Linked DNA regions of Drosophila melanogaster. The protein of the gene in region 1 interacts with the protein of each later gene in a pairwise test. Each region holds a gene or a part of one and is shown on either strand. Other genes may lie near its edges. The genes, in order: Pdzd8, bond and GAA1.

Region 1 (11,130 bases):
AATTGGATTGGGAGTAAACGTGGGGAGATTGTAAACAGATTAGAGCTACTATTTGCTTAGAAATAGGAGTAGACAACATAATTTTAGATATGAATATGATCAAGTGTATTGTACTTTTTTTTTAATGTAAGGGCAAGTCTAGACGAAGAGCACATCAAAATGAAGCTAACGATAACAGAACTCTTTTCAAGCAGAACACACATAGATCTAGATCGAAAATATATATATATAGGAAATAAAGATTGTAGGTACTCGCATACATTGTAAGTTATCTAGAATTTAGCTCGAGGAATCGGTACGGTAATCTGCAAGCGTTTTTGACTTGTTTATATTAAAAGTTAGTACTTCAATTATGTGTATTTAAATGCGACATTTATTTATTTACTCAATGTACATACCAGATAATTGTAGATATGAAATTGTTATTTATTTTATTCTTTTGTATGTAAAATATTTACCTACGACTACTATTATAAATACCTTCATCAGACCGAATCCCTATAGCGAATATTAGCAAAAATTCAGCGCAATTTAGTCCTCTACGGTTTTAACATTCAGTTGTGTATTTATACTCGAGCGGATACTTTTTTTCCACGATTAGTAGAAGTCCACGCAACATGGCAAGTCCAGCATATTGAATTCAAATCCAAGTCCAAAACTAGATCCAAATAACTCAATTATGACCAAAAGCATGTATCTGTGTAAAGTAAGCATCATTCAGTGCCATTTGTTTATACAGACTCTAGCTAACTTACAATAGCTTGTTTATCATACATATTTGCCTTAGCGAATGAAACGTTGTTTTCATAGTTACTCTGTAATCTGCAATCGACGAGAGGTTTATGCTTCTATTAATGCGTTTCGTATGCTGAAATTAGCTCCTCGCAAACTTTCCGATCAGTTGAAAGAACTCGATGTCCATATGTATTTATAAATGACAAGCAAGCAAGTCATTGTTCTCACAATCGAGCATCCTTAACGTAAACAAAAACATGTGTAGATATAATATATACACCTCCGACTCCTCATACTCGAATTGAATTGAATGTGTATAATGTGTAAAAATGCAGAGCTCATGGCACACCAAACGTAATGTATTCAAATATACTATAGCCATGCACACAGCCCCTCCAACTCACTACCAAAAAAAAATGCAGTCATCATGTGTATAGATAGACGAATCGTACATGTTGGACGACGGGATATCGAAGAGCGCACAATAATTGTAATTTAAAGAAAAGAATCCATAACTTAAGTAAATAATTATAGCAGCTGAGCAGTAATGCGAATTTACACAGCAAATGAACTTACCATTACGAATATGACGATGACTAGCGTCGAGTGCATACGGAAAGTAAAAAGAAAAAAAAAAAAACTTTAACAAAAACATTTAGCAAACAGAAACACTTGCCCTAAACTAACTTAACTGAGCTGACTTTAGCTGTGTACGATACTTAAATATTAACTGAGCAATACTGAATAGGGAAAACGACTAACCTAGAAACGATTAACCCAAATATACACTCAAAAAAGGTCAAGATCGCCATTTAACTTAGAAACTCGCCATTTTATAATGTCTTTGGCTGTGAGCCGTAAGTTTTAAAAATCTCCGAAAATTTCCCAAGTTTCAAAAGCGGATTTTTCAGTTCCTTTTTTTATACTTAATTTGAAGGTTTCGTTCGCCATTAGTTTGTAATAGCAAAAATCATTGTGTGAATACGATTTTTTTATTTTACAGGACACGGTCATCATATGTCTTGTTGATATAATTTTGAAAAATAATTTTTTTTTTTGAAAACCCTGGGTTTTTGATTTTATGGCGATTTTCTAAAATCTAGACAAAGAGAATGGAGAGTGGAGTGTGAGAAAGGTAACCGACAAGCGTATTCTTCTATAATTATCTTAATTACGGATGCTGACAAACATACATCAAATATATATATATATATATATACACGCCTACATAGATAAATATACAATAGTTTATAACTAGTATCAAATAAAATGGGAACTCCAACGCTAAGGAAAAACATAGAACAAAGATCGCCGATATAAAAGTTCACTCTCCAATGAATTAATTAATTAATTAATTAATTGTATACACGTTGCACGTTGTATTTCCGAGGTTCACTTTTGACTACTTCCAGTAAAAGTTTGTCCACGTGGCAAATGTTTCAAGTCCTCAGTCCTAGGCTAAGATCCGATTTTTTACCTTCATTTTGCACCGCTTGCTTAACATTAACATTCGAATTATAACTAGCGATATCCCCCACAAAACAGTAGAGTTCTTGGAAGGGCAGCTTAGGGCTCATTAGCTCAATTACTACTACTGAATCATTGCCCCGATGCCAAAACTAAACAAAATATAGATAAATGATACAAAAAAAAAAAAAAAACACCAAAGAAAATAAATAAAAAAAAATACAAGAAAAAACAAAACCAAAAAACAGAAAAAAAAATAGAAATGAGTACAAAGTATGAAGTTAGTTCACTGATATGAATTCAGTATTCAGTATCGCTTATCCAGTTCATGATGCCTATAGAGGAAATATTTAGTTAGCTAAAATATTGGCAAGCTCGTGACCATTTCAACTCGATTCCATTCGATTCGCTTCTAATGCTCACAATCTTCGCTTCGTCCTTCGAAAAAAAAAGGCTCCCAGCTGGCCGACCGCGAACTCTGCCCAACTTTATGTACTCCTACTTGTATGGTTAGGTGCCAAGTGCAGGGATCCGATACACGAAACATCACATATTTCCGGGGAAGAACAATTCGGGCACCATGTCCCGCCATTTACTTACAAAATTAAAACCAAAATATATATTGTTACACAATGCTGCGATCGATTGTTCTTCCAGCTACAGATCCTTGCATTCCCCCGCCACATGGAGATGCCATGGAAAGCATTGCCCGATCCAGATTAAGATCCAGATTCAGAGTCATTATACATATGCATGCAACCATGATGAAGTGCGCACACAAGGCTGCTGCCGAGCCAATCCTCAATTCGAAAAAATTCAAAATTGAATTCAAATCCAAAAATTGAGGTGACCCAAACGGTCCGCGCTCCTGTGTTGTTAAACTTAACTCATGTCGTAGGTGGCTTACTTCTGTCTGAAATGGCAAACATTTAACCATTGAACCCTAACTTAACGATTCGACTGTATATTTTGTGATTTGTTTACTGTCTGGTGTGAGCGGTTACATGAAACAAAAAAAAAAAAAAAACAATAAAGAAGAAAACTTAACAAAAAATAAGAACGGAAACAAGCAAAAATAAAAAGGAAATACATATATGTAAGTAGATCTGACTTTTTTTTACAAAGCAACAAGAAATATAAAATATAGGATGTGAGAGGGGATGATACGCGAATAGGAAAGGAAACAAAATTAATAATAATGAAATTAGTTTAAAATTAGAAGAATGTAACTGTTACGGCTAAATTGTAATGATAATACATATACATAAATATATGAGAGAAACCATAAATATAAATATAAATATCTTAATTTAATATACTAAGTGAATAAAGCAGTTAAATTAATTACTAAGATACGCTAGAGATAATTAAACTACATTTAATAATTATGTAATTATAAAGATGACTCGTAATTTATATACAAGATATACATACATAAACATATAATAACATAAATACCTGCCTTCAACAAATTTGTTAATAAAACTATTAATACTTTCTTATTTTACATAATGTAAAGGAATACCATAATAAAAACAAAAAAAAAACAAGAAGAAAATAAATGTCAAAAAAATAACACAAAAATTGCACATCTTGTGTTTTTTACTTGCGCATTGAGTAGATTTTTATACCTTTTCAATATATGCCCAACTATTTTAGTTTATAAATGGAACAAATGAATGAGCCCATGGAAAGCCCACCAAAGGATCCCAGCATCCTTAAGGATTTGAAGAGCCTGCACCGCCTCTCGAAATTATCTAGCTCAAAGCAATTGAAACTTCCTGCCATCAGGAATTCCTAGGGTGCACCCGGGTGCACCGTTCCGAACAGCTGTTCCAAGTGGTCCGGCTGATGACTGGTCTCCGGATTGCATTGGCTGCGAATCAACCCCCAGGAAGGTTGCCAGCTGATCCGGGCGCAGGCGCACTGCGAAGTGGCCACGGCACAAAAAAAAAAAGGCGCTGCCAGTGCTGCGGATATACATATTGATTTTATGTCGCCTATTCATCAGTTGTAACAATTGTAAGATTACAGCTACCGATAGCTGGGAACAGCCTCAAATTGGCGAAATCGGCTAGGGTATCAGCCAAATGGATGGGTCAAGAGCTCCGATTCGGATGCATCCAAACTCCGTGTGAACGGCGAACGAACTACTGGCCGAGGGTGATACAATGCGAGCACATCCAGAACGTAATTGAAAAGACTGACATCAGATATACTGTGACCAGTGGAGCTTTGGACTCCGCAGCTGGTCCCATCGTAGCCTCGCAGCTCCTCCAGCAAATACGATCCGGAGGAATAGACAGTATTTTCGAGTGAGATTGGGAATTTAAGGCATCGCCAGCATGGAGATACCCATTTCAAACATTCTGCTGCTCTGCCTGATCTTTCTGTTGATCGGCGGAGTGGTGATGATCCTGCTGCAGTATCTCATCTTCATCAAGTTCTCGAATCTGCCCGACGAAAGCGAGGAGCAGAAGCAGGCGAATGCCAAATACACCCTGCCATTGGTAAGTAGCTGGAGTAAATTCCCTTGTTCAATTGACAATTTCCAACTTGGTTTCACCACAATCGCAGAACATCAAGCAGACGGCCAGGAACCTGAAGAGGCTATCCAATTCCGGACTGGGTGGTGGCGCTGGGAATGGATGCGAGAACCATCAGGAGAGCCTCCGACGGGCCTCCGCCCTGGTCTCCCTCAACTTTGTCATGCAGTTTCTCTTCCACGAGTTCAAGAACTCCAATCGGGTGCGGAAATGGTTCTATCGCAAGCTGTCCATCGAGCTGGACGAACTGATTTCCAAGACTACCACCGGAAAACTGCTGGACAAGCTAACGGTGAGAAGTAGATTTTTTTTTGTTTTGATTAAAATAAAAGGGTTAGAGTGATATTATACTCTTTTATTAGTTTCAAAGTTAATTGGTGTACTAACAAATCATCTATTTTATTTTAGATTAAAGAGCTCGAGTTGGGCGACCAGTTTCCGGACGTCAAGTCGCTATCGGTGCACAACGTGGAATTGGACAAGGATGAGCAGCGCATCGAGAATCTCGACCTTCTGCTGGACATCAACTACGTTGGCAATTTCACAACTTCCATTGACGCGGACATGGTGCTGGGCAAGAAGGGATCGATAACGCTTAGGGGTGAGTGAGTTGGCGACAGGGAATGGGTTTTAATTGTTCCTACCACCAGCCTTGCACGAATCTGAAAAAGCCATTGGAAATGAAACAAATTCATGGGTTTTTTCTGTATTTAAAAATATTTAAATATTTAATGATGTTCTTATATATATGTACATATATATTTTACTTATCCCTACTATTTAAATTTACATCTTTTATTGCAGTCAAACAGCTTTCGGGAATGGCGCGCCTGCAGTTCACGAGAAAGCCCTACACGCACTGGTCAATTAGTTTCCTGGGCGATCCGGAGCTGATCCTGGACATCGAGTCGAAGTACCAGGGCCGCCAGATGCAGTCGAACATAACCAACCTGATCTCAAACCAGATCCGAAAGGCGGTTCGCCGGAAACACACGTTGCCCAACTACAAGCTGCGCTACAAGCCCTTCTTCCACTGGACGGCGGAGGAGGACGCGAGCGACTGTGACATTCAACCGAATGGCCTGCTCACCGTCAAGCTGGCGGAGCTGTCCCGGTTGATGGGCTATCCGGGCGCCAGTGAGACGTACTGCACCATCACGCTGGCGCCGGTGCCGTTTATCGAGGCCAGTCAGCGGGATAGCCGGAATGTGCTCATCTCGTTGGACGTGTTCATTCACAAGGCGAAGAACCAGCAGATTGGAATCGTCTTCAAGCAGAGCGGCAGCCAGGTGGTGCGAATCGAGTCCGTGCTCCCGAATACACCGGCCTGCAAGTCCAACCTGCTGGCCGGCGACGTTCTGGTGGCCATCGAAGGCAGGCCGGTGACCACCATTCAGCAGATCGCCAAGGTGGTCAAGACGCTGCAGGCCACTGTCTTTAGTCTGCGCATTGAGCGCATTATTCCTGGAATTATTCGCAACGATGCCATACTGGAGGACTTCGAAAAGTACGAGGATATCGGCGATTTGCCAAGTTCGTATCCCTGCCAACCGAAGTTGGAAACGGATGAGGCTGCAACCGCTGATCCGACACCCAAGCACCTGGTGGTGAAGCCCAGTTTGAGCGGAACACCAACCAATTCCCCCAAGAAGTCCAACCTCATTGCCAAGGCTATCAAGAAGACAATGAGTCGAGAGAGTGGGGATAAGGATCGGGACAAGGATAAGGATAAGGACAAAGATAAAGATAAAGACAAGGACAAAGATAAGGACAAGGATAAGGACAAGGATAAGGACAAAGGCAAGGAGGAGGTGGAGGAGCCGGTCAACTACTTCTATCAGCACTCCACCATCGACTGTCCATTTAGTCCACTTATCCACATGGAAGACGTGTGCAGCTTCCAGTTGGACAATTCCAGTCGCTTCCTCAACGTCTGCGTCTTTGGCAAATCCGCCGGCGAGAGTGTGCTTCTGGGTTATAACAATGTCCAGATCGGTCAGATTCTCGTCGAGTGCTCCGAAACCAGTTTGAACCAGTGCCTCAAGCAGATCAGTCTCAATCCGGCATCACTGCAGGCTGTGTAAGTTGGCCAGTAACCACCAGTGGAAACTCCAGAATGCACAATTGTTTTGATATATATTTACTGATCCCCAGAAAGACGCATCCGCTGTCCAATCAGTCCGGCTTCAATCCGAACCTCTGCTTTGGCGACATTCTGTTTGGCTTCTCCTGGATGGGCAATCCCAATTTGACGGTGGGTGATGTTCCCATCAAAAGCACATCCAAGTCCCAGTCTCCGGCCAGGTAAGCTTCAAGTTACGGATTAAAAGACTAAACTAATTCTTATGCTCCCAACAGAAATCCCTTAGCTGGCGACCGAGTAGCTTCAGAAGATCAGTCGCAGTTCCTCAAGCTGACGAGCTCTATGGCAGACAGCTCCACATCTGGCGAATCCTCTAGTGGCACCACTGCCGCTCCAAGGGCACACGACTTTGTGAGGACCCACTTCCATCGGGCAACACAGTGCGACTTCTGCGGCAAGAAAATTTGGTTGAAGGACGCCATGCAGTGCCAGGAGTGCTCCATGTGCTGCCACAAAAAGTGCATAGTCAAGTGCCAGATGGCCACCGTCTGCGGTCCGGTTGACTGTACCGGCTCCATACCGGCAACCTCCTCCACTCCTTCAATGGCCAGCCGACCGGAGTTCACCATCACACAGGCCGACAATCCACAGATCGTTGATTCCAGCACGGGTGCGACTCCGTTTGATGAGACGTCTGCTGCATCTGGCGGAGATCAGGGGCAAATTCAATCGCCAACGGCCTCTGGCTTGGATGTCCATCGATCCAGCCTCACCGGGATGCTGGCCCAGGGCATCAAGCGGCAGGCGAGCAACTTGGACATTCCCGGCATCGTATCCTCGCTAACTGGCAGTGGTCAGCAGGTGAACTCCAAGAGCCTGCCTCCCAGTCCACAGCACACGCCATCGCGGTAAGTTCGCATGCAGAACCAATTAATATGGGTGCCTTTTTTATACCATATTTGAATACTGACAGAAAATCGTCGATTGTGGAAGAGGCGACTCCTGCTCTGCAGCAGAATCCTTTCGAGAGCGTCACCCAGCACCTGGAGGCCCTGCCCTTGGACTGTCCGGAGCTCAGCTTCGAGCAGGTGATCGTCATCACGGAGCCCATCATTCGTCACACCCGCAACGAGGATCTGATGAATCTGGCCAAGAGCACCAGCAAACTCCTATACGCTGCCCTGCCGCCCGATGAGCGTGTGGCCAAGATAAACGAGTTGGTAAGTCTGCATGGCTTCTGGATAGATATATGTATATATATATATATGTATAATGATCCTATCAATGTTTAGTTAACGAAACTGAAAGTAGCCCTGGATGCGGAGACCGAGGGCTATACGCTGATGAACGATGCGGAGAAGGCCACCGAATCCTCGCCCTGGAAATCGGACAGATCGGATGAGCGTGTCCAGGCGCTCAGCATCATCATGCTGTACTTGTGCACGGGTCTGCAACATGCCCAGGGTGTGGTGCTGCAGTAGATGATGCTGCAATCCTGGGATCATGGGCTACATGTCAATGGTTAAATACTTGTGTATTCGCGTGAACTCGTACATAATCTTAAGTAGTAGACTGGAAATGTGTTAGTGAACTAATGGGCATTTTTAATTCGTGTTGTGGCATACTTAACTAGAAGTATTGTATTTCAATTTTAGCCATTCGTTTCGATCAAAATACGCTTATTTGTCAGTTTTGAAACCGATTTGTACATACATAATATGGGATTAACCCAAACTTAATGGATATATCAATGGCATCCATAGAGTTCCAACTTGTTTTGGCAAATAAACATTTTTAACCAAGTTCTATCACATTTCGTATGATATTCATCTAATATTTTATAGCAAAATGTTTGTATATCGGTATGTAATAGAGAACGTAAAGAGCGTGTGTGCAAATTAAATTAAATATTTTTGACGTTGATTTTAATATTTTGGCATTGGTTTTCTCTACATGCAAACTATGCCTCCTAGCATACTGCATTCTGCATATAAGTATGAGATACGTGAACGTGGAAATGTCAAGTTCAAAATGGCATGTTTTTACTACCAAGTGATCTAATGAGACTACAGACAATTCCGGAACAGAGAAAAATCATATGACGGATGCGTAGGAGATCGGTTCTATATGTACGATTTATATACGACGCACTTTCTCCATTTATATTGAACTTTTACACTTTTCCGCGGCAGCAGCAATGAGTGTTTATATCAGGGGCTATTGCTCTTAAGATGACAAGATACTTTGTTCTTGATGCAGCAATACTCATCTAAAGGATAGGAAATTTCAGAAATGACCATCTTTTAGATTAGATACAAAAATATCTTATTCCTAATTCTTAAAAAAAAAACAAGATCAATCTATTCGTTTATTTTACAAAATGTGCGTATCTATAGGGTATTTTGGTATTCCAAATGTATATTGTTTAATGTTTAGTTGCGAAAGCTTTTCCCAACTTTAAAGAAAGTGCAATGTGGAGCTTTGGGGAGCAGAACTTAAAATTGGCTTTTTGGATTTCTGCAGCTCTCTTTGATCGAATTCATTCCCCGCAAATTGAAGATAATGGGTAGAATAGCCTTGACAACTTTGAAAATGGCCATTATCGTGAATAATTGTACAAATGTTTGCTTAATAATTTATAATTACATATATGATACATGGAAATGAGGTGTTCAATACGACTTGTTTTTGACTGGAAAAAAACAGCGAACGGCTGATGCGTAAAAGTCGATTCTATAAGTATTTTGGCCAATTTACACTGGCTAACAAATTGGGATAGCCGTTCTAAATGAATTGCATATATTGAATATATATGTATATGCATACATTTGTCTTAGATCATATGTAATTTAAGGTTGGTTAAATTATTTGTATTATGTTTTCCATTATTTTGCTGACTAGTGTACGGTGCGATCATCTCTCTCTCTCTCTCTCTCAAACGTTCACTCTCTATTTTCGCATTGAACTTTTACACTTTTCCGCAGATAGAACAAGCTTATTTTATTGGCAAGAGAAAGAAGGACTGTTTATATCAGAGGCTATTGCTCTTAAGATGACAAGACATTTTGTTACGATGCAGCTATACCCTTTAGAAGGGGTTAATTGGTTGCACCATACCCCTTTATTTGAACATAATATATTGAAATTAGATTATAACTTAAGAAGTCGCTTTTTATTTCAGTTCTCAGCGAAACAAGTCTATATTTCTCAAAATTCTATATGTATCTATTTTTGATCTATTGGTCTTTAGCTCAAATACGATAATCTGACAGATACTTTTGTATGACAATAAATGAGATACACTTCCCATTTCCTTTAAACATACTCCCAATCAAGCCTTGGCAAAATCCAATTAATAGTACCTTGTATCGCAAGGCTAATGACCATTTCGGAGCCAAGGAAAGAGTATCTGCGAATCGGTGTGCGCTTGAAAATGCCAAATTGTGCTATTATTTTTTGTTTTTCTTCCCATTTTATTTTTCATTTGTTTTGTTATGCGCAGCTTTTCTTTCTTCTTCGTGCTATAAAAACCGAAAGTAAAAAGCATTTTCAATATTTCAATGCGGAAGATAGTCACGTTCAGTTGGTTGCGAAGTAGCTCGCGTTTAAACAATCCAAATAATAGGAAAGATATATCTTGAACCAATCACACTTGCCACACTGATTGGAAATACAAAAACACACATATTTTTTTTCGAGTGATTACCCAGTGAGACAAAGCCAAATTAATATACCCACACCAAAGACTAGTTCAAATCAATCGAAAACAAAAAAAAAACACAAAAGATGCGGCCTTTTGGCAACGACATAACAAACATCCCGAACGGTGGTAATAATGGTGGTAATAATGGTGGTAATAATGGCAACAACGATCCCAACGACGGCAACGACAACCGGAACACGAACATATCCAGTGAGGATCCCAGCGAGGAGTCCGGACTATCGGACGATCCGAGTATTCCGCCGCATATAGCGAGAATCGGCGGAATCGTTACCTGCCCCCCGATCGCTGGACAAGGAGTTATCCGGGTGGTTCAGCGTTGCGAAGACGCCAAGGAGAACCACAAACTGGGTAAGTCATGGATAATATAATTATCATTTATTATATGCACATGTGACCCAGTCATTTTCGCTTGAGACGCAGTTGCAACTAGACGACTGATTCTGTTTATTCCATCCATATATGCATACATTCGCATATAATAGGTCCGTAGTATGGACAATTGGCCAATTGCCAATTTCAGTTATTGCGCACCGACTTCCCCATACAAAAGCCAACAATTTGTTTATAATTGAGGG
Region 2 (12,011 bases), on another chromosome or scaffold:
GTTCAATCTAAGCCTGACCTTTAAAGCCGGTGATCAAACGGGCAGATTGTCTAGAGTATAAGGCTCAAAGTCAAGAAATTTTACTTGACACCTTTCGGACAGACATTAAAGGCAAGGAGAGATAAGAGGTATAACTTTCAAATGGCTATGGAATATGCTTTAAATTGAGCAATTGTATTTAGTGAGTCATAAAAATGGAGAAATGGCCACGATAAGGTTTAAGTACAATGGTTATGGTACATTTTGCATGTGGCAAATAGACATTGGCCAATGCAACATTTCGATTGATAAGACGCCCGACATTGAAATGACTGCCTGCGCAGAGGGAAAATTGCGACTAACAAGTGGCAGCCGATAACCACATGGTGGTAGGTCAGCGATAAGAGCTCCGCCACATGTTTTGACGATTGCATTTCGTACTTTTCCACCTGGTGGAAAATGGAAATAAAGGTTAATAGCCCCAACTCACCTCCGCCTCAATAAGCTGTGTGTCCTCCGGGGTCGAGGGGAGTGGACAACCGGCGTCATCCTCCTCGACCAACTCATCGTCGTACTCCAGAATGTCCAGATCATTGGGGCTAAGCGAGTCCTCCGGTCCCCAGCCACGTCGCTTGCGCAGGATCATCTGCACCTGCTCAAAGATATCCTCGTCTGAACCTTCTCTACGCAAGGTGGCCGTGGTGGTGGTCACCGCCTCGCCGGTAGCATGTCCTTCGGCGTCCATGCCGAAAGTGGCTCGAGCCTGGGTGGTTACCTCCACCTCGGCGGGATGGCTCCCGCCACTCACATCAGCCGCTGAGCCCTGTTGCTCGAGGAGATTAGTGGCCGAATCCATGGTCTTACGATCCCGCGGATTCGTTTTGCACTCCGCAAATAGTATTCTGTAAGAGAAATACGTTCTGTTCAATACGATACATACGAATTTAGTTGTTCGAAAGCAATGCTAAGCGTTTGTTAGCTCAACGCTAGCTCGTCTGGGAAATGCGATATTTGTTTATTTGTTTATTGGTCTGCTCCGATCGCATTGCTATATAGTATGGCGCGACCTTTGTTCCCCAGTAAATCGGTTGTACGTAGCACATAAGTCTGTATCTGGTAGCTTTGTGTGTTTTATCACTTAGGAAACTTAGCTGCCAATTACGTTTTTACATAAGATGGTGTTCAAATGCGAGTGGGATCCTCAGTGGGTTAAGGTGCAGTTGCTATTTCGGGGAAACCATTATATAGATAGCAAAGTGCATGGAAAATGCAGCCAGAAGGCCACGTGTGAGTGGAATACTACCAACTGGCTTAACCCCCACCTGCACTCCACTTGCGCAGTTCCCATTTTTTTTATACGAAGTTACAGAAAGTGTCACAACACAAACGAACGATTAATCACTCGATTTCACTGGCGTTTCGTTACTATTCACTTACCACTCGAAAGTCGCGCAGTTGGCGTGGCTTCGACGGCAGGCCCAGGAGTCAACACTGGCGCGAAAAACTATTTGCTGCACTTGCTTCAATTGCGTGCAATTGCAGTTTTTCATCTGTTTTCCCTTAATTTAATTTTTTCTGTGTTTTTTCCAGTGTGACTGCAAGCGCGATAGGGAAAATCACTAGCAATCATATGGGAACGGAGGAAATGCGGTCATACCTTGACGCAGCAGCTGTTAACGGCTGTTAACGCTACTTTGTAGTCACAGCTCTGTAAAACAATGTGGCAACTCTGCGCAGCGCCCGCCATATTTGAAAATGCTTGCCAGCAAATCGTATTGCTCCCGGTAAACAAGGTGCTTTCATTATTAGTCAACATTTTTGAGAGCTAACAACTTTTTATTGGCGATCAAAGGTGGTACTTCAACTGACCAAATATTGGATATTTGCGTAAATACCTAACAGGCATTTGTTTTTTTTTTCATGAGAAATTACCGTGACGAAATTACAAGACGTATATTATATGAATAGAAAATTTTCCTCTAGTCTGTAAACACTTCAGTAACAGAGAAATTGTTTTCAAAAAATGTTAAGGCATCTCATTAAAAAACATCAACAATGAACTCAACTTAAGCCTGGTAGTTATGAATTAGCATGTGTAGTTCCCCGATATTTAACCTACTTAAGTATGCACATATCTGCCATTCCTTGGACACTTTTGCAAAGACAACAAAGACAACATCACAGCTTACTTAAAATATATATATTTAAATTAATTAATTAAAGTAATACAAGAATGTCTAATTATAGCTTTTTTAGAAATAGCATTACGGTGTTATAAAAACCCACAAATGTAGGCAAATAACAATTCTAATAATAAAGAAACTTAATTGGGAAGACAAAATGGTGTTTGGCTAGTGAGGAAATATCACCAGCCTTGCAGGCCCAATAAAGATTCACTTGTTTGGCAAGCTCTTAATAGCGCAATTTAACTACGTTTTAATAGCGCCCTTAGAATATTTATTGCACATAAAGGCCAATATGTTTAGTCAAGAGTCATTCATCTTTGTTAAACAAATTCAATTTCAAACATAAGACTATAGAACTTGCTTTGCTCAGGGGCAGCCCATCAAGATGATATACCCTATTGACCAATCCAGGCCAATATCATCCATCAGCTCTCGGCGTTCTGACCAGCTACGTTAGAAACTCGGCCAAGGAGCAGATTTCGCACAGACCCCGACTAGCGGTATTAATCGACTGAATTAATACATTTAGTAGCGCTGAAGTTCAGGGTCATAATCACAAAAGAGAAGCGCCGATAATGCGAGCTGTTTCTGTTTGAATGACGAGCGCGCGACAAAAAATGCTAAACGGCCAATGTGCTTCAAATGGAAATGGAAATGCCAAAGACCCGGAAGGGTGGCGACCAACACAGCTGCAGTGCATCCAACTCGGCAAACATTTGCATATTTGACCGGGCACTTAGCACGTGGGTGGAGTACATGGATCACCATGGGTCACACAAATCACCTGGGAATCTGGGAGACTGGTGAGAGTAAGTGCGTGAAATTGACCCATTCATTGGACGGACAATCGCTTCCCATCGATCTGGAAATGTGTTAACTGCGCCCGTAAACCCTATTTGCGTAGTTAAATTAAGTGCCAGGTTATGGAGTTGGGGCGTGTCATCCCCCACATTGGCACATATATATATATATATATAAGCACTTATAACTATGCTGCCAATTGAGTTCGTCTCAATGACGTGACGGCGATAATAAATCAATTGTCTAGCGGTTTATTTAAAGCCAATTTTGTAGCTGGAAATTGGCACACAGAAAGAAAAGTGGTGTCAGGAACTTATATATAAAATGTTATTATTTTGGTTATTTTTAAAGGGTCTAATGGAACTATTTTTATTATAAAAATGTAGATAATTTTTTAAGCATTTCTTTATAGAGATGTTTTTAGAAAAATGTTTTTTTAAATGGGCACACAGAAAGAAAAGTGGTGTCAGGAACTTACATATATAAAATATTATCCATATCTATTTTGTTAATTTTAAAGGGTCTAATGGAACTATTTTTATTACAAAAATGTAGTTAATTTTTTAAGCATTTCTTTATAGAGATGTTTTTTAGAAATAACACAGTATCAAACGAAAGTGGCGAGGATGACGCAAAATCCAATTAACCTGAGTTATCACTGAAAGGTCAAAGCACATAATAAAAATATAAACTCCATCGTGCGGTCTAAAAATCGCGACACATTATATATAAATATAAAGTGCATGTATATATTTTTTTAGAAATTCATTCCAAACACTTTCAGTGGCATACAAACAGATTTTCATAAAATTGTTAACAATTTATGATGATGAACTAGAGTCTCTCATAGTATGTTCTATGTATGTTCGTTAAATTCTAAACATATACCATAATATATATATGTATATGTATACATGTATACTAATATTGAAGTATATTTCGTTTTTACTGTGTACTTTTTCGCTTCCCTCTTTGCTTTCGTTTTCTTTTTGCCGCTCTTTTTGCGATAGGATCTGCATGTTTTTTTGGCCAACCGGGAAAGGGTTAATAAACTTGTTCAAAATAAACCAAGAAAAAGCATGGCTTATCTGCTGCTGTTAGCAGTTTTGCTTTCTTTTCTCGCCACAGACATTCATTTTAATGGCTTCAAACTTGACCTTAGCACCAGAAAGCACCAAAAAATCAGTAAAGATAAAACCAAAACTAAATGTTTCTAAAGCAAAAATAAAATAAAAAAAAAAAAAAAGAAACCGCCGCGCAACTTAAATTGGCCATTAACGCAACTTCGACTTGCATCGTATCGAACCCGGCCGAGTGACGCAAAAATCAACTAAAAAAAAAGGTTAAGTATACGCCGTGCGGGCCGTGCCGCGACTGCGCTGCCAGCGTCGCCAGCGACGGCGGCGTCAAATGTTGGCCGGCCTGCGAAGCGCGTTCATTTTGTTTATTTATACAGCCGAGCGGGTAGAACTCCATATTAGTGTCTTCTTGGCGTTTGCCGCAGTCGAGTCCGAGTCCGAGTCCGAATCCGAATTCGAGTTTCGAGTCCGTAAACTGTAACTGAATCTTCAGGCTACGGTCGTAGTGCGATTGTGTGTGTGTGCGCGCCAGTGCGTGTGTGTGTTAGCCAAGTTCCAAGCAGGGAATCGAGTCAGCCGAAAAACCAACAGGTACGGAAGTGATATGAATTCATTTTTTGGGGCAACCTAAAGGCGTGATGAAAGTGTTGCATAAATTGGAGAGCAGTTCTTGGGCAAAAAAAAAAAAAAAACAAAAAAAAAACTGAGAGCTCGATTGGCAGTGGCTGGTCTAAGCCTGGCTAACTTTGCTGCCACCACCGCCATTGGTCCGTCTGATATTTCTCGTCGACCTTAACCCAATGCATCGTACATAGATTAAATGCTGAAAACTCGCTTGAGGAGCTGCAATTTTGCCAGTCAGCCAAGGCCAAGACTCTGGCTGCAGCATTGAGGCGGCCAAATCTAAACGATTTGAACTTGTAATCGATTGCGATTCAATTTGCAGCTGCACTAGCCAAATGGCCTTCAATAGCACCAAGCAAATGGCCGCCTGACACTATGGCCAAACTGAACACTCCCCCTCACGAAGATGACCACATTTCATGGTTAGGCAAACAGATTAGAAGTCGCTGTTCCCACGAAGAGACCACGGCCCATATCCGTTACAGTTTCTAACGACAACAACACAGACAGACGCAGAGGGTTTCGTTTGGGCCAGGAAAAAAATCCAATTAACGCCGCAAATATTTACAGAGTAATTAAAGGTTGTCAGTCGGCCCAAAAAGTCACCAGCAACAAACTCTGGCTTAAGACGCACAGGGGAAAAAGGTTTTTAAGTCATCTTTCGCGTTTCCTAAATAATATTAATATATTTTATTTTAACGAAAATTGAACTAAACAGTTTTGTTGATAGCCAAACAGATTTTTTGAACTATTTATATATACTTTCATATATGTCTCAAAAAGCAATTAGCTAGGGAATTTGCTAAGCTTAGTTTTAATCGCATTTTAAAACATTTTCTTACCGTGTGGGTTATAGTTATGGATGTATCTATGTGGCGTTTCTGCGGTTTGCCAACTGCTGGCTGACTCGACGCGTTTTTGTGCCTCCTCTGTAAATGCCTCGGCTGGCAAAAAAAAAAAAATTAATTTACAGCGCTAAGCAAGCATGAAACCATAAAACATGTGCACTTGACACAGGCAAAACTAAATGATTAACCTGTTGCACTCTGGAGCCACGTCGGGAAAATAACAATGTGGAAAAAAAAATTAAACAATTTTCAGGGTGCTCGACCCGTTTACATACCCTACCCGATCTACTCAGTACTCATGATTCTATGGATCCATTCGATTGCATCGCAACACCTACCACATTTCCAAACTTCAATGGGCTAATGTATTCGGGAATTTCACATGGCTAATTGTTGTCATTCGGCGAACACTCAAGTGCGTGTGAAAATCGTGCTGTCTGTAATCTATAGAAAAACATCCGCCCCATTGGACTGCAATTTACACAGCATATATGTAGCTATATCATTTTGAGGAGTTCTGCAACAGAAAGGAAAATAATAAAAAAATATTTAAACCAAGACTAGTTTACTATCATAAATTGCATGTACTTGGGATTTTCCAAACACAAATCATATTTTTTTTTTCTGGTGTACACACGTGGCGACATAACACACGAAATACCTGAGCTTCTAGGCGCAAAGTTGCAAAAAAAAAGAAACATGCAAAACTTGCTGATTTAAACTGGTGGCACATTAACAACGTTTAAATCGCAGCAGCAGATACAGATACATTTACATATAGACATATGCGCAGATGAAAGACTAATGCCCCATCGGCCTTCATTAGATTTCGAATTAGTGGCGAATTAAGTTGTTTTTATCCGAACCTTTTATTTTTAGAGGCAAGTTCGTAAAAATTAACGCTTTATTCGGTGCTTTTCCGCACCGTAACAGACGTATGGATATTTAGATACTATTCGCATTAGTCACAACATTTGAAATTATGGCAAAGCCGTGTTCGAGTGCTGGGTAAACCCAATTCCCAGTTCTCAGTCCACAGTTCCGAGTGCCAAGTATCCAAATATCGAGTGTTCTGATACTGCTGACAAGGCAGCACCTCTTAAAGGGTACAAAAATTTGCAAAAGCGAAAATCAATTATGCATACAATACACATAATTTTAATGCGTGCGCGGCAGAATGTGGTTGCTGGCTGCTTCTGCGTTTATTTTTAATTTATTTAAGGCGGAAGACCTGCTCAGCTCACAGAATCTGTGCTCCACTGCCGTCGTATGGGATACTGAAGTAATGGCTATAGATGTGGCCTTTGGTTAACCGAAAGTGTGGCACCAGAAGGTGCTGGGGTTACCCAAAAAAGGGAAGCTGCCATCCAAAAGGGGCGTAGCCAGAAGGGGGATCAACGTCAGCAGCTGCGAAGGCAGCCAGCGGAACACTCGCCTGACTTTCAATTGGCGTCACATTTTTGGTCGACTGCGATCATGATCATGATGATGATGATGATGATGTAGTTGATGCGGCAGCCAGCTCACTTTTCCTGTCTCCAGTGTCAGTCTATATGATTGCCAAGTGTCTTGCATACGAATGGGTCTGGGAATGGCAATACCTATATCTATATAGCTATATGGCTATATGGCTATATGTCTATATGGCTATATGGCTAAGGGAAGGCGAAGTCAATTGCGAACGGCTTAACCCTGACAGAGACCTAGTCTCAGTCGCTGTCGATCGGCGGTAGTCAAAACATATCAATCATACGCCGAGTGTGTCCAATTAGCGACTGTGGCAGGTGTTTGCTCTGTTCTTCGGCCAGGCCAGGCCAGACTCTCCAAATCAAATTACACGCCATGTGATCATCCATGAAGAGTGCTACTGCAATCAGAAGGGAACAAAACTCCAGTCATCCCAGAATCATTATAGAGCAGGCCGTGCCTTTAAAATTCAAAGTACAAGCACATAAATTCGATCAAGTTTGACAACTAGTTTTATACCGTTCCGATTTGTGACATTCCCAACTGGACATCTTCTAGCATACCAGCTAATTATACAAACCAATCTATATACATTTTACCACACATATATATATATATATATAAATTCGAGAATCTTCGCCCGAACGAGTTCCGGTTGGAGTTGGCTAGGTCAGTGGTTAATGAGGAGAACACCTCGAAATGTTACATAAGAAACGAGTTCTGGCTGCCGTGTAATTGAATATATTCGATGGGTCATTTTCAATCAAACTCTTTTTCCGTGTGCAATTTAAATAACAATGTGAGGCAAGAACACGAGCCCCAGTGGCTAGAACATAAACTCCGAGTGCCGTGCCGATTTTATCTGAACAGTAAAGCTGAAAAAGACAATCGCAGATGTTCAGGGAGATGCCAAGATGAATGCCAAAGATAGTATTAACTTTAGTGCCAAGGCGAGAAATTCAAATGAAGCCTTGAGTCCGGATTTTTTTCAGGTTTCTACTGTCACTGACTTGCGGTCTTGGCTTCGGCCAAGAATCTTAGATCTTTAAGACATTCTCGTTCGATTCTATTGAATCGAGAGATTCACATATGTCTAGTTATATCGTTGAGCTGCACCACCCTTATCTTTGCTGTCGTCATTCATCATTCGATTGGGGATAACTTAATAAGCGATTTCTTCGCGCCTTTCATTAATAAATCTTTGGCGTGCCTCGGCACAAATTCCAATGCAAATCACGATCCTCGGCGAGCCGAGCAGAAACAAACGTGCTGAGCCTCTCCAAGCGATCGCGATTTAGAATACCTATTTTCATTCAATATTTCGGCAACGCGGCGTACGGACGTCGGGCTCTGAATTCTCGATTTTTGGGCGAAAATTTCTAAAGCTCGTAAGCCTCTTTCTTTCAGTTGCCAATTGACAATTGCCAGTTGCAGAAACAGTAACAGTAACGAAAACAGAAACAGAAAGCCAATATGACGAACTACATAAAGATTGTCGAGGAGCGAATCTCCGGCCTCTCAAAAGGAGTGGGTAAGTTGAATCGAAATAGGTATGCATATATATCAAATGAAACTAATGATTCGAATACCATTTAGATGAGACGGTGGACAGCTGGTTCCTAATGAGCTCACCTATGCCCGTGGTGGCCGTGGTTCTCGTCTATCTGGCGTTTGTTCTGAAAATCGGACCCGAGTACATGAAGAATCGCAAGCCCATGGACCTCAAGCGCATCATGGTGTTCTATAATGCCTTTCAGGTCTTGTACTCCATTTGGATGTGCCGCACGGTGAGTCCATAAAACGGAGCGTCATAATTATTCAGCTTGTTTCGCGATCTCGATTTATGTATTATTCATTTTTAATAAGAAAAGCAGCGTCAAGTGCTTGTCGAACATACAAAGTTGCGACCTACGTTATATTGTCATTAAATATATTAAGCTAAACCAATTTAAACCAATTGTGCAGAGAATTCGTTTATTTGAAGACTCTATTTGTGAATTTTTATTTCACATACTATTATACAATTCAATTGCAAATCGATGTCGCGCTTTAATGAATGAACAAATTAACTGCACTTGAATAAGAAATTTAAATAAAATAGCGTTTTTAAGCAGCAAATTAAAAATAATAAAATATATGAGGATTAATTTCCCCTTTTCTTTTTTTTTTTTTTGCAGTCCATCCAAGAGAGCAATGTGATGGCGTCGATCTTCTCGAAGAAGTGCGAGATTAACCGCACCAGGGAGCAGAATCTGACCCTCTATTCCGGTGCCTGGTTCTACTTTTTCTCGAAGATCATCGATCTGCTGGACACGACGTTCTTTGTGCTGCGCAAGAAGGACAACCAGGTGTCCTTCCTACACGTGTACCATCACACCATCACGGTGCTCTTCTCCTGGGGCTACCTGAAGTACGCTCCCGGCGAGCAGGGCGTGATCATTGGCATTCTCAACTCGGGCGTGCACATTATCATGTACTTCTACTACATGGTGGCCGCAATGGGACCCCAGTACCAGAAGTACCTGTGGTGGAAGAAGTACATGACCAGCATCCAGCTGATCCAGTTCGTCCTCATCCTGGGCTACATGCTGACCGTGGGCGCCAAGGGCTGCAACATGCCCAAGACACTGACCTTCTTCTTCGTGGGCAACACGGTCATCTTCCTTTACCTGTTCGGCAATTTCTATCGCAAGACCTACAAGAAGGCCAAGTCCGTGGATGGAGGCAGTCGCACCACCGGCAGTAGTTTGGCTCAATCCGCTCTGCGTGCCGCCGGCGGTATGGGTTGCATGCCGCAGACCATGAACGCCGGTAAGCATCTGCTCCAGAATGGCCAGGTCGGAAAGGCGTACATCGATCTGAACAACAACAGCGTGAAGCCCATGAAGCTGGAATGATCGGCGATGCCGAAAATGGTGTCGTTGGGATTTCAGTTAGCAATTATGTTTTTTAGAGCGGGGCTTAGTTCGTAACTCTTACCTTTACCTTTACCATTACCAACTATCAGTAGTCTGTAGTCTGCGGAGAATAACTTGTATAATGTTTATATGCCGGGCAGGCGGATGATGATTCAAATCCAAAAAGTAGCTAGGACCCTAAGTGCGTGAATGTGGCCATGTTTGTGTGACTGAGTATGTGTTAATGTTTTTCTAGCTGAGCGTGTATGAGAGCTAGTGTGATAGAGCTTATTAATGAAATGCAGCCGTAAATCGTTTCGCAAAACAAGAAAAATTCAATAAAACTTTAATTTTGTATATTTAATAAAACCAAAAAAGTCTGTGTCTGTTCTTTGCCGGTGAAATTCGGGTTCAGGTTTTGGGTTTTGGGGGTTTTTGGACTTCTATTTCTGCGCGAAGCTCTTGGGTTAGGTAATCAAACCGGATCCCATTGGATCCTATTATTTATGACAACGGCATGGCCACGCGCTCCATCCACACGCAAAGAAAAATTATGCAGATCTGCAAACCATTAAACGTGATTAATATCTGTCGATTGAGTGAAGATATACTACCTCTTTTTGTGCCAACTGTCTAATCAGAGAACAGATTAGAAATATCATAAAACAAAAGCACAAATTTTTGCATCCCTAAAAAACGATTCTTTAAATAAACCATATTTTTATGAGTGTAGAACCTAGTACGCGTGCTGCGATGATTATCCAACATTGTGTGTGCCCCGTCCATTTTGTTGGCCAGGCTTAGACACCCTGGCGACGATTGGAGAATGTCTTTGCCAAATTAGAATTTCTAATCAATTTTTTCTTAACTCGCCTTGACTCACACACATGCCTCCAGCATCACATGAAGCACCTTTATTTATGCAGATTTCGAGTATAAAACTCTTGTTGTTTTGTACACATTCGAGTCAAAGTTCAAGGGCCTGGAAAAGAGTTTGATTTGTATCTATGGGTAGGCGTGTTATTTTAAATGAGCCTCGTTTTTGCGACATTTGCATAGGTCAAACTCTATGTTGGTTTTAAAACTAAGAACGGCCTGAAAGTATGCCTTGAATTGTGATTATGGAAATTTTTTCCAGTTTCTTGGTAAATATATAAATAACGCCGGAGATCTTCATCTTCAATCGAAAGTCTGATAGAATCTATGCTGATCAGACCATAAAACTGGTATAATATTGGCATTAGCTTAGCTCCGGTTGGGGCCAGATAAAAACCGAAATTTTTGGCTGAGAGCTGCGCTTTGTTTTCTCATGTTTGTGGTCAAGATCAAGGCCAAGTGTCCAAACCGGCTTTATTGAATACTGTATCCGCACATCGGATGGCCGCAACCCCACTCGAAGATGCGTTTTCACTTCCGCTTCAGTTGCGTTCCGTCTTGACTGATTGATCAATAAAAGGCTGCGGAATTTATCAAAATCTTATCTCCTCCGTCGCCGCCGTTCAAGGTGCCTGCGAAATGAGCTCTAATGAGTGGCCAAGTGGTCGTCTTTCCAGAGTCTCGTAAAAATTCATGAACCGATCGTGTCCAGATCATCACCCCATAGACCAGTTGTACTAGCCACGCCCATTCAAATTTAAATCATTTTGGCTTCCGCTGCTGAATGAATAGGTTCTTGGTTATACATACATATATCAGCTGGTCAATCGATTTGAGTTGGTTCCTTGAGCAAAGGTTACCTCGTGCGATTTATCTGAGGCTTACTGAGATCATGAATGGCTAGATTGGGATGCAAATGGGTGTGATTGCTCTTTGGGAGATACCCCAATGTTGTCGAAAAGACAAATATACCATTAAAGTGGCTTGAAACCATAAATACAAGTTGAATGAACACAAATGATTACAGGAAATGCTTGAATATGCAATGTTTTCAAGGCCAATTGCATTAATTCATTATTTCTTTAAATGAAAAGTAATTCATTTAAAAGTATAATATATTATTGCGTCAAAAGGAAAAAACTTTTAAATGTATTGAAAACAAGATCATTCAAACTATAAAGAAATAGTATGGGGTACATGATCCTGATAAAGTGATCTATTAATTAAAAATGTCAGACTTTTTTGACAAATATA
Region 3 (8,790 bases), 6.1 Mb from region 1:
ACCAGGTCCAGTTGAATTGGAGGCACAGGAGCCCGCGCAGCCGCAGAAGCAGAAAGAGGTGGTGGACCAGGAAATTGAAACCGAGGATGAGCCCTCCTCCGATACGGTAATCTGCGTGGCCGACATCAACCCCTACGGCAGTGGTTCCAACATTGACGACTTCGTTATGGATCCCGATGCTCCTCCCAATGCAATAATCACCGAGGTGGTTACCATTCCAGCTCCTCTTCATCTCAAAGGGACACAACAACTGGGGCTGCCATTGGCTGCCCCACCGCCACCACCACCTCCTCCAGCAGCGGAACAAGTCCCCGAGACTCCCGCCTCGCCCACAGATGACGGCGAGGAACCACCAGCAGTATATTTATCCCCCTACATACGCTCTCGCTACATGCAGGAATCGACACCTGGCCTGCCCACCCGCCTGGCGCCGCGTGATCCTCGCCAGCGCAACATGCCGCCGCCAGCCGTAGTTCTGCCCATTCAAACCGTACTTAGCGCCAACGTTGAGGCCATTTCTGACGACAGCAGCGAAACTAGCAGCAGCGATGACGATGAAGAGGAAGAGGAGGACGAAGATGATGCCTTGACCATGGAGCACGACAACACTTCCAGGGAGACGGTCATCACAACAGGTGACCCTCTGATGCAAAAGATCGATATAAGCGAAAATCCCGACAAGATCTATTTTATTCGGCGCGAGGATGGCACCGTGCACCGTGGCCAGGTGCTTCAGTCTCGCACCACTGAGAATGCGGCCGCTCCCGATGAGTACTACGTCCACTATGTTGGTCTCAATCGCCGCCTGGACGGATGGGTGGGCAGGCATAGGATCTCGGACAATGCGGATGACTTGGGCGGTATTACCGTGCTGCCAGCGCCACCATTAGCCCCCGATCAGCCAAGTACTAGCAGGGAAATGCTCGCCCAACAGGCCGCCGCGGCGGCAGCTGCCTCATCCGAACGGCAGAAGCGTGCGGCCAACAAGGATTACTATCTGTCCTATTGCGAGAACAGTCGCTATGACTACAGCGACCGCAAGATGACACGCTACCAGAAGCGGCGCTACGATGAGATCAACCACGTGCAGAAGAGCCACGCTGAGCTGACCGCCACGCAGGCGGCGCTGGAGAAGGAGCACGAGTCCATTACGAAGATCAAGTACATTGATAAGCTGCAGTTTGGCAACTACGAGATCGACACCTGGTACTTTAGTCCCTTCCCCGAAGAATATGGCAAGGCACGTACGTTATATGTTTGCGAGTACTGCCTAAAGTACATGCGCTTCAGGTCGAGCTATGCCTATCATCTGCACGAATGCGACCGCAGGCGTCCGCCCGGAAGAGAGATCTACCGCAAGGGCAATATATCCATTTACGAGGTGAACGGCAAGGAGGAGTCACTATACTGCCAACTTTTGTGTCTGATGGCCAAGCTCTTTTTGGACCACAAGGTTCTATACTTCGACATGGACCCGTTTCTCTTTTACATCCTTTGCGAGACGGACAAGGAGGGCAGTCACATTGTGGGCTATTTCTCCAAGGAAAAGAAGTCGCTGGAAAACTACAACGTGGCCTGCATTCTGGTATTGCCGCCGCATCAGCGTAAGGGATTTGGAAAGCTACTAATAGCCTTTAGCTATGAGCTGTCGCGCAAGGAGGGCGTAATCGGTAGTCCGGAGAAACCGCTCTCGGATCTGGGTAGGCTGAGCTATCGCAGCTATTGGGCATACACGCTGCTGGAGCTGATGAAAACCCGCTGCGCTCCAGAGCAGATCACAATCAAGGAGCTGAGCGAAATGAGTGGCATCACCCACGACGACATTATCTACACGCTGCAGTCCATGAAGATGATCAAGTATTGGAAGGGCCAGAATGTCATTTGCGTTACGTCCAAGACCATTCAAGACCACCTCCAGCTGCCGCAGTTCAAGCAGCCCAAGCTGACCATCGACACCGATTACCTCGTCTGGAGTCCGCAAACTGCAGCGGCAGTGGTCAGAGCTCCGGGAAATTCCGGCTAGCATACGGAACCTGGAGACCCCGTTCTGCTATCATCGCATATAATTGTTATTGACGATGACGATTAGGTTTTTTTTTTTTATTTTTTTTTAAAGAAAGCGTAGGAATAAGCTATTCTATTGCACCCCTCCAAACGAAAAATGTATAGTCATATATCTAAATGGAACCATCAGAAGGTTCAATGTAATACTTAACATTTGGTTTACAATTTTTTTTTTTTATAGTTAAGGAGTTTTACGGATAGGCTGTTGTAACTCTTAATGATAGAACCAAATGTCTAATTCGTTTGGCTAATGTTTTTGGAGAGGGAATTTGGAACAACCATTTAAAAATTTTAAAAACTTCTGTGTTCTTGAAATATATATCTTTAACTACTTTATCTCGAAAAACTCTGGACTTGTTAAAAACCAAATAAACTTCCACAGCAGCCGATATGCCGACGCCTGAAGAGAATACATCTCTATGAACTCCTTACACGTAAGATAGCATAATCTCTCCACGGTACATTTTTATACACTATAATTAAGGAAGAGAATCCATAATATCTTTTAGGCTACACATTAGGTTAAGTTCAGAAAGAACTGAACGATTCCTACTGACTAATGAACAATAATAAATGATTTAAACTGTAAAAAAGAAAAACTCCAATCTGAGAACATGATGTACTTTCTCAAATAAATGCGTCGTTACATTAACGTCAAAAAGAGGAAAAATTAAATAAATATTTACAACGACAGGTTATTCTTTTCATTATTTTTGCAACACATTTCTTGTAGGTTAGCTTAATATGTATATTTTGATATAATAAAAAATATATATAGAAATATCGAAAACATTGGAAAAACAAGTTTAAAATTTCGAGCATTAAAATCCATTGCTAACCCTCTCCTCCCTAGCGTCATAAGCAATCGGTTATCGAGGTTATCGATAACGCCCGCATCGATACAATTCCGCCGGCTTGTCCGATTCGTGTTGTTGTGATTCGGGATATATACAGGATATAGGGCAGCCAAAATGGGCCTGCTGTCCGATCCGTCGATATCGACGCAAAGCAAGCTGGTGGACGGACTGGCGCGTCATGTTCGCAAGGTGTGCTACGCCCTTTATGTGGCGGGTGTGGCCTGGTTCTTCTGTTTGGCGCTGCCGGAGTTCAACCACGGGACATATCTCTCCGAGAATGCTCTTTCGCCAGGTGAGTTACGTGCAGCGTCACCAAAAGAGAGCCGCTAACAATTGGTGTGATCTATTGTAGGCTTGGTCTATCCGGAGATCCGCATCGATGCGAATCGTCTGGCCATCCAGTTGCTGGAGGAGCTGCAGCGGGAGCGAAAGGATCATCTGTCCACCACGCCGCACGCCTGGATTGCGGCCAAGATGAACGAGTTCGGCCTGGAGACGCACACGCACAACTACACGTTGCGCTACCCATTTGGCGGCGGTAAAGAGTATCACGGCAAGAATATCTACGGCATATTGAGGGCCCCAAGAATTGCCTCCACGGAGGGCATCGTTTTTGCGGCTCCATATCGCGCTGCCAGTTCCGTGCACACGGACATTTCCGCCAGCGTGCCGCTTCTGCTGGCCTTCGCCGATTTTGCCCGGCGCAAGAACTACTGGGCGAAGGATCTGATCTTCCTGATCACCGAACAGGAGCAGCTGGGCATGCAGGCCTGGCTGGAGGCTTATCACGATGGCGACCGGGAACTGGACTTGAGCAAGGCGTACCTGCGTCCTGGCAATTTGCCCGCTCGCGCTGGTTCGCTGCAAGCGGCTCTGAATATTGAAGTTCAGGATCTGGAGATTGACCATGTGGATGTGCGAATAGAGGGCTTGAACGGCAAGCTGCCCAATCTGGATATGTTCAATCTGGTGCAGAGAATTATGGCCCGCGAGGGCATCGCCTCTGGCTATAAACAAGCGCCACGCAAGAAGCGTCGTCACAGCCAGTCGCACTTCGAGCAGAACTTCCGCCAGATGCTGACCATGCTGGCCAGCCAGTCGTCGGGCGTACCCACTGGCAATCATGGGCTGTTCCACCGTTATCGGATCGATGCTTTGACCATAGCTGCCAATCGAAGGGCCACCCATGCCACACTGAAGGGCAGCCCAGGATCGGCAGCGGTGCCTTTGCTGAAGGCCATCGAGGGAATAGCCAGGAGTCTGAACAACCTTCTGGAGCGCTTCCATCAAAGCTTTTTCTTCTATGTGATCGTAAGCAACGATCGCTACATCTCCATTGGGGATTATATGCCCGCTTTGGTGGCTCTGGTAGCTTGTGCCTTCCTTAAGGCCTATCTAACGTGGTCCACGCTCCCGGCGACCAACGCTGAGCTGGAAAAGGCCGCTGGCTGGCTTAGGGAGCACGAACAGGAGGCGGAACTGGAGGAGAACCTAGAGCCGGATAAGTTCGAGCTGCCGTATGGTTCGGTATTGATTTACCTTACTGCCACCCTGTTGATTGGTTTCCTGTGCAACGTGCTGCCCCTGCAGCAATATTTCCTAGAGATTCCTATGGGCGCCGCACCACTGACCACCTCAGTACTGAGTTTTCTTTCTCTGATCGGTTTCGTTCTGCCCTTTGTGGTGGTTTTGCCGCCCGGAGGATTGGAGCTGCTGCATGTGGCCTTTCTGCTAATCTATGGCTGCGCTTTAATAGTCATCGGGCTCCTCAACTTTGCCCTGGGCTTATTTGCGGCCGTGCTGACTGTACCGCTGGTCATCGCGCTGGAGACCAAGGAGGAGAACTCGCGCAGCACGCTGAGGAACACGATCCGCTTGGCCACGCTGGTCATGAATCCCATGATGGTCGTTTATGTGATCGTGCTGGCCATGACATTCTACCAGTTCCCGGAGCTGCCGGTGCAGAAGATCATGCTGAGGGCGGCCACCGCGGCCATGGATGCCTCGGCTTATGGACTTATCGATTCCGTGGTAAGTTAAGATTTCAGTTGCCACTACTAACATACATAGATAATAAACTAAAATACTTTCCTATTGCAGATTTATGGCAACTGGCTGTACTTTGTCATCTGCACGATTTTCCTGCCGCTGTGGATCATCTGCTGGACCTTGTCGCTGTCCAAGCGACGCGACTACGCAGATTACCTGGACTTCGATGAGTCGCCATCAACGTCGCCGCAGCCGCAGTCAAAGGTGAAAACGAATTGAGGAGACGAACAGCACGGATTGCCATTCACTGGCTACATATATCAACTGGAAATGATCCTAAGATGAAGTGTGATAAACCCAACAAAACTGTGTGTGATGGCGGTAAGAGATTGCACATGCAGAGAAAATTCCATTTAAATGTTATGCATTTGATTAAATGTCTAAATAAAAGAAGCCTATTTATTAGTTGGAATAACTAAGTGTAAATGTAATCCAAAAAATATTAAATATACCACGGCATTTTCGATGTTGATTCCCAGTTAACTTATCATTTTAAATTACTTAAGTGGTTAACTTTATCAGTAGCTTCTTGTGATTTATGGATTTTCCATTATATTTGCAACTTTGTTTGCACGTAAAGCAGTAATGCATATATTTCCCATCCGTTGGTTATTATTTCTTTTGTCAATCCTCCGTCTTCGCTGGCGTTATTGGCCAGTGGAGGACAGGAGTTTCTCCGTGGAGTAGTGCTCAGTGGAGCACGTGCCTCTTTGAATAAGTGGAAAACTTTTCGACTATGACACGCAACTTAATTTAAACTTTGCACCGCTGCCAGCGCCATCGTCGTCGCTGCTGGCAATTAGTTATGAGCCAGGATTTGGCTCAATCAGAGGCATGGATGCATGGTGTCCTCGAAGCTGGGAGCCCTGCACTTGCCGCACCGTGTTTACCGGCGCCATTCAATCTGCAACTTAACAAGAAAACTTTCCTCACACAACCATTCAAAGGCAGACACAAAGTTGCGGCGGCACAGTGGTACTTTCACTCGAAATGTAGAAATGAGAAATTTTCGAATATCTTTTTATTAAATGGATAGATAGATTGTAAGATGAGTTCGGTCAAATCACTGAGCTGTATCACTGTATAAATCAGTTAACAAATATATATACTTTTTCAAGTAGTAGTTAATTAATCCTCGCAGTTCTAGTCTAATCGCAGCTTTTCAATATTTCTATGGGCCATCGTTAAAACAGCAGAGCACACAAGTGATTTTAGAGTTGTGTATCTTTATTCAAATACTATTCAAGGCTGGCCTGCGCTAGATGGCCATCTCCTGCACCTGATCCTCTTGGCTTAAAGAACCCATCGCCCTTCGCAACCATTGGCAAATCGAATTGGACGAGATAGGTAGCATCTCGTCCTGAGAGTCAGCCATATCGGTTTGGGTGCCCTTGCCGGTGCCCTTGCCTGGATTCCGATCCAGATACAGACCCTCTTTGGACTCCAGCTCCGTCTGTCGCTCCGCGTGGCGTTCCAAAGAGCGTTGACATCGGCTCCAGAGATCCTGGACATCCTGGCTCTCGCAGTCCGACTGAATGGCCTCTATCAGATATCTCATGGATCGCCCACTGTACTCCATCTCCAGGCTGCGGATCATTTCCGCATCGCTCTGCAACTGACACTGGATCGCCACCTGGCGTTCGAGTGCCTTGGCATCGAATAGCATTTGATCCAACAGTGCATCCGTCTCGGCGATCTCGATCCGAAGCAGATCGGCCATGTCCATGGCCGAACTAAGTTCCCCAGGTTTTGGGCAACGCGGCGAGGGTGGCGGTGGTGGTGGCGTCACCGGGATACGGGCCGTCTTACACTGGACGACACGTGGGGTCCTCAGATGCGTATCGGTCTTGCGCATTTTGAAAGCCTTGGGCGCAGGTCGTGGTGCTAGGCTACTGGGCCTACGCTTCGGGAAAGACCTTGCCGAGCTGGTCGCTGTGGTGGTGGGGTGTGCGGTATCACTCCTAGTCGTGAGCAACTCTGGCACTGCCTTCTCCAGAGATGCCTCCAGAGATGTATAGCCATTCACGCTGTTCAAATGGAGGCGACGGGCCTGGTGCACCAAATTGACGATAGCGCGATCCAAAGCCAAACTCCGGGCACTCACGGACTCCGCCGCGTCATTCAGATGTTCTGTGCTCATTCCAAAGCAGGTTTAGTGGAAAATTTTGATAATATTAATATATATATATGGCTATACTGTGAAGATGTAGTGTATATAAGATTTGGTACTACCGACCGAACCGTAGAGCAAACGTGTTGTGTGTGTCCCTGTCAAATTAGGTGAAATGAAGTGTTGCCAGTTGGAGACGGGCCTACTGGTTTCGGAAAACTCCAACTCCAAGATTACAAGTTTACAAAGGTTTTTTTCTCTGAGTGTATGAATGTGTCGCAAAGTATGCAGTTCGAAGAATATTTATATATGGTTAGAAATCTTTATACACAGCCCACTGTTGGCCAAAACGTTCGCATTATCCTTCGACTGAAGGATAAAGGGATGCGGAGAGTTCGTGATTGCGGGGGGGCGGGGGTGTTTTAAAATTGGCAAGTTGATGTCACATAATTGCCCCTCGAGCGCTCATCTTAATTATTGTGCTCGCTGACTTCCTGTTGCCCGACTTAATTCCCCGTTAAAGCCAACAACACACTCCCTGCGGTCGGGTTCGCCCCCCCACCCCCCACCATCCCACTCCAACGACCACTCTTTTGCCGGTTCCCTCTGCCGCCCATGGACTTACTGAGTGCGTCGCTGCTGCGTGTGGAAATAATTAAAATTGTTCGAAGAACGAGAGGTGTTGCACTTTGCATGTCGGCGAAAGGGGGATTGATGTGCAACATATATGTACATATGTATGAGTATGTGCATTATCGTGTCGGTTGGACAGAACAGCCATGCATTCATCGCGGATGTAAGGATAATGGAACCTACTTGAACGGCCCTTTAAAAAATTTATTGCTTTAACTATTAATCGTTTCATAAATTGAACCTTGAATGAGATCTGTAAATAAAATCCATTGCCAAACTGAGTTTATCCATTTGTAGAGCGACTTCAATTTTAGTTTCGCTGTTTTTTGCGGATTTTTTTTCAACGCTTCCGTGCTGCTTCTGTTTTAATGAAAAGTGAAAAGTGGGAAAACAAGTCCGGAATAGAGGAATACCAATCGAGAGCTTTCAATTTGCTCGACCATTGTTCTGCCTTTGTTTGCTTTTGGATTCGGATTCGGTTTCTTGTTTTTTTTTTTTTTTTTACCCGGGCTTTACTTTCGAAAAGAATTGAAACTTTGACAGTTATTTGTGTGCTTTGTCCGCCCCCTCGAAACAATGCACAAGCGGCGTCAATCCGCCCGACCTATATAGTCCTCCCCCCCCCCCCCCTAAACCACCACAACGAGGAGTCACGTGGCACTCCATTTTTTTGGAATGCCAACGATGAGTACGAAAAACTGGGCAGGTGAAATGGAAAACAAACGCATAGAAAGACAGGTACGAGAAAAAAGCATCCAAAAGACTATAGACATACACTGAGATCTTAGACGGAAAATGGAAAAAAATTATTTTGCAAAAATTAAACAACTTTAGATGAGCATTGTTATCATAACTTGACTAAAAGTGATCAGAAAGCAAAAAGAATAACTGTTTTGAGCAGCTAATAACGAAGGCTAACCATCCCTATCACTTTTTGACCGATTTAGGAAAATTAATTTTTGGACCAATTTTCGCATTTTCGGTAAGGGGTAACATCATCAAAATTTACAAAAAATGGCTAAAAAATGGAATTCCCATTTTTGGACACAGTTCGATTGGGAATTTAAATACGAACTC

What was found.
Region 2: the proteins of Pdzd8 (region 1) and bond interact in a two-hybrid assay, tested with the Drosophila melanogaster proteins (one large-scale study listed by BioGRID).
Region 3: the proteins of Pdzd8 (region 1) and GAA1 interact in a two-hybrid assay, tested with the Drosophila melanogaster proteins (one large-scale study listed by BioGRID).

The regions. Positions count from the first base shown.
Region 1 is NC_004354.4:11,923,931-11,935,060, reverse strand, and holds Pdzd8 (PDZ domain containing 8), read left to right. Parts: upstream 1-4,210; 5' UTR 4,211-4,547; coding exon 4,548-4,712; intron 4,713-4,779; coding exon 4,780-5,040; intron 5,041-5,156; coding exon 5,157-5,349; intron 5,350-5,552; coding exon 5,553-6,828; intron 6,829-6,902; coding exon 6,903-7,052; intron 7,053-7,106; coding exon 7,107-7,739; intron 7,740-7,804; coding exon 7,805-8,051; intron 8,052-8,123; coding exon 8,124-8,312; 3' UTR 8,313-8,637; downstream 8,638-11,130. Other genes in the region: sclp, read left to right, coding at 10,618-10,903.
Region 2 is NT_033777.3:22,546,243-22,558,253, forward strand, and holds bond (james bond), read left to right. Parts: upstream 1-4,437; 5' UTR 4,438-4,636; intron 4,637-5,511; exon of another isoform or gene 5,512-5,613; intron 5,614-5,855; exon of another isoform or gene 5,856-6,034; intron 6,035-6,383; exon of another isoform or gene 6,384-6,445; intron 6,446-7,432; exon of another isoform or gene 7,433-7,653; intron 7,654-8,294; exon of another isoform or gene 8,295-8,391; 5' UTR 8,392-8,457; coding exon 8,458-8,515; intron 8,516-8,580; coding exon 8,581-8,771; intron 8,772-9,161; coding exon 9,162-9,881; 3' UTR 9,882-10,252; downstream 10,253-12,011. Other genes in the region: AdipoR (adiponectin receptor), read right to left, coding at 470-835.
Region 3 is NC_004354.4:5,867,502-5,876,291, reverse strand, and holds GAA1 (glycosylphosphatidylinositol anchor attachment 1), read left to right. Parts: upstream 1-2,934; 5' UTR 2,935-3,035; coding exon 3,036-3,213; intron 3,214-3,273; coding exon 3,274-4,952; intron 4,953-5,021; coding exon 5,022-5,189; 3' UTR 5,190-5,451; downstream 5,452-8,790. Other genes in the region: mof (males absent on the first), read left to right, coding at 1-2,023; CG15764 (uncharacterized protein), read right to left, coding at 6,229-7,110.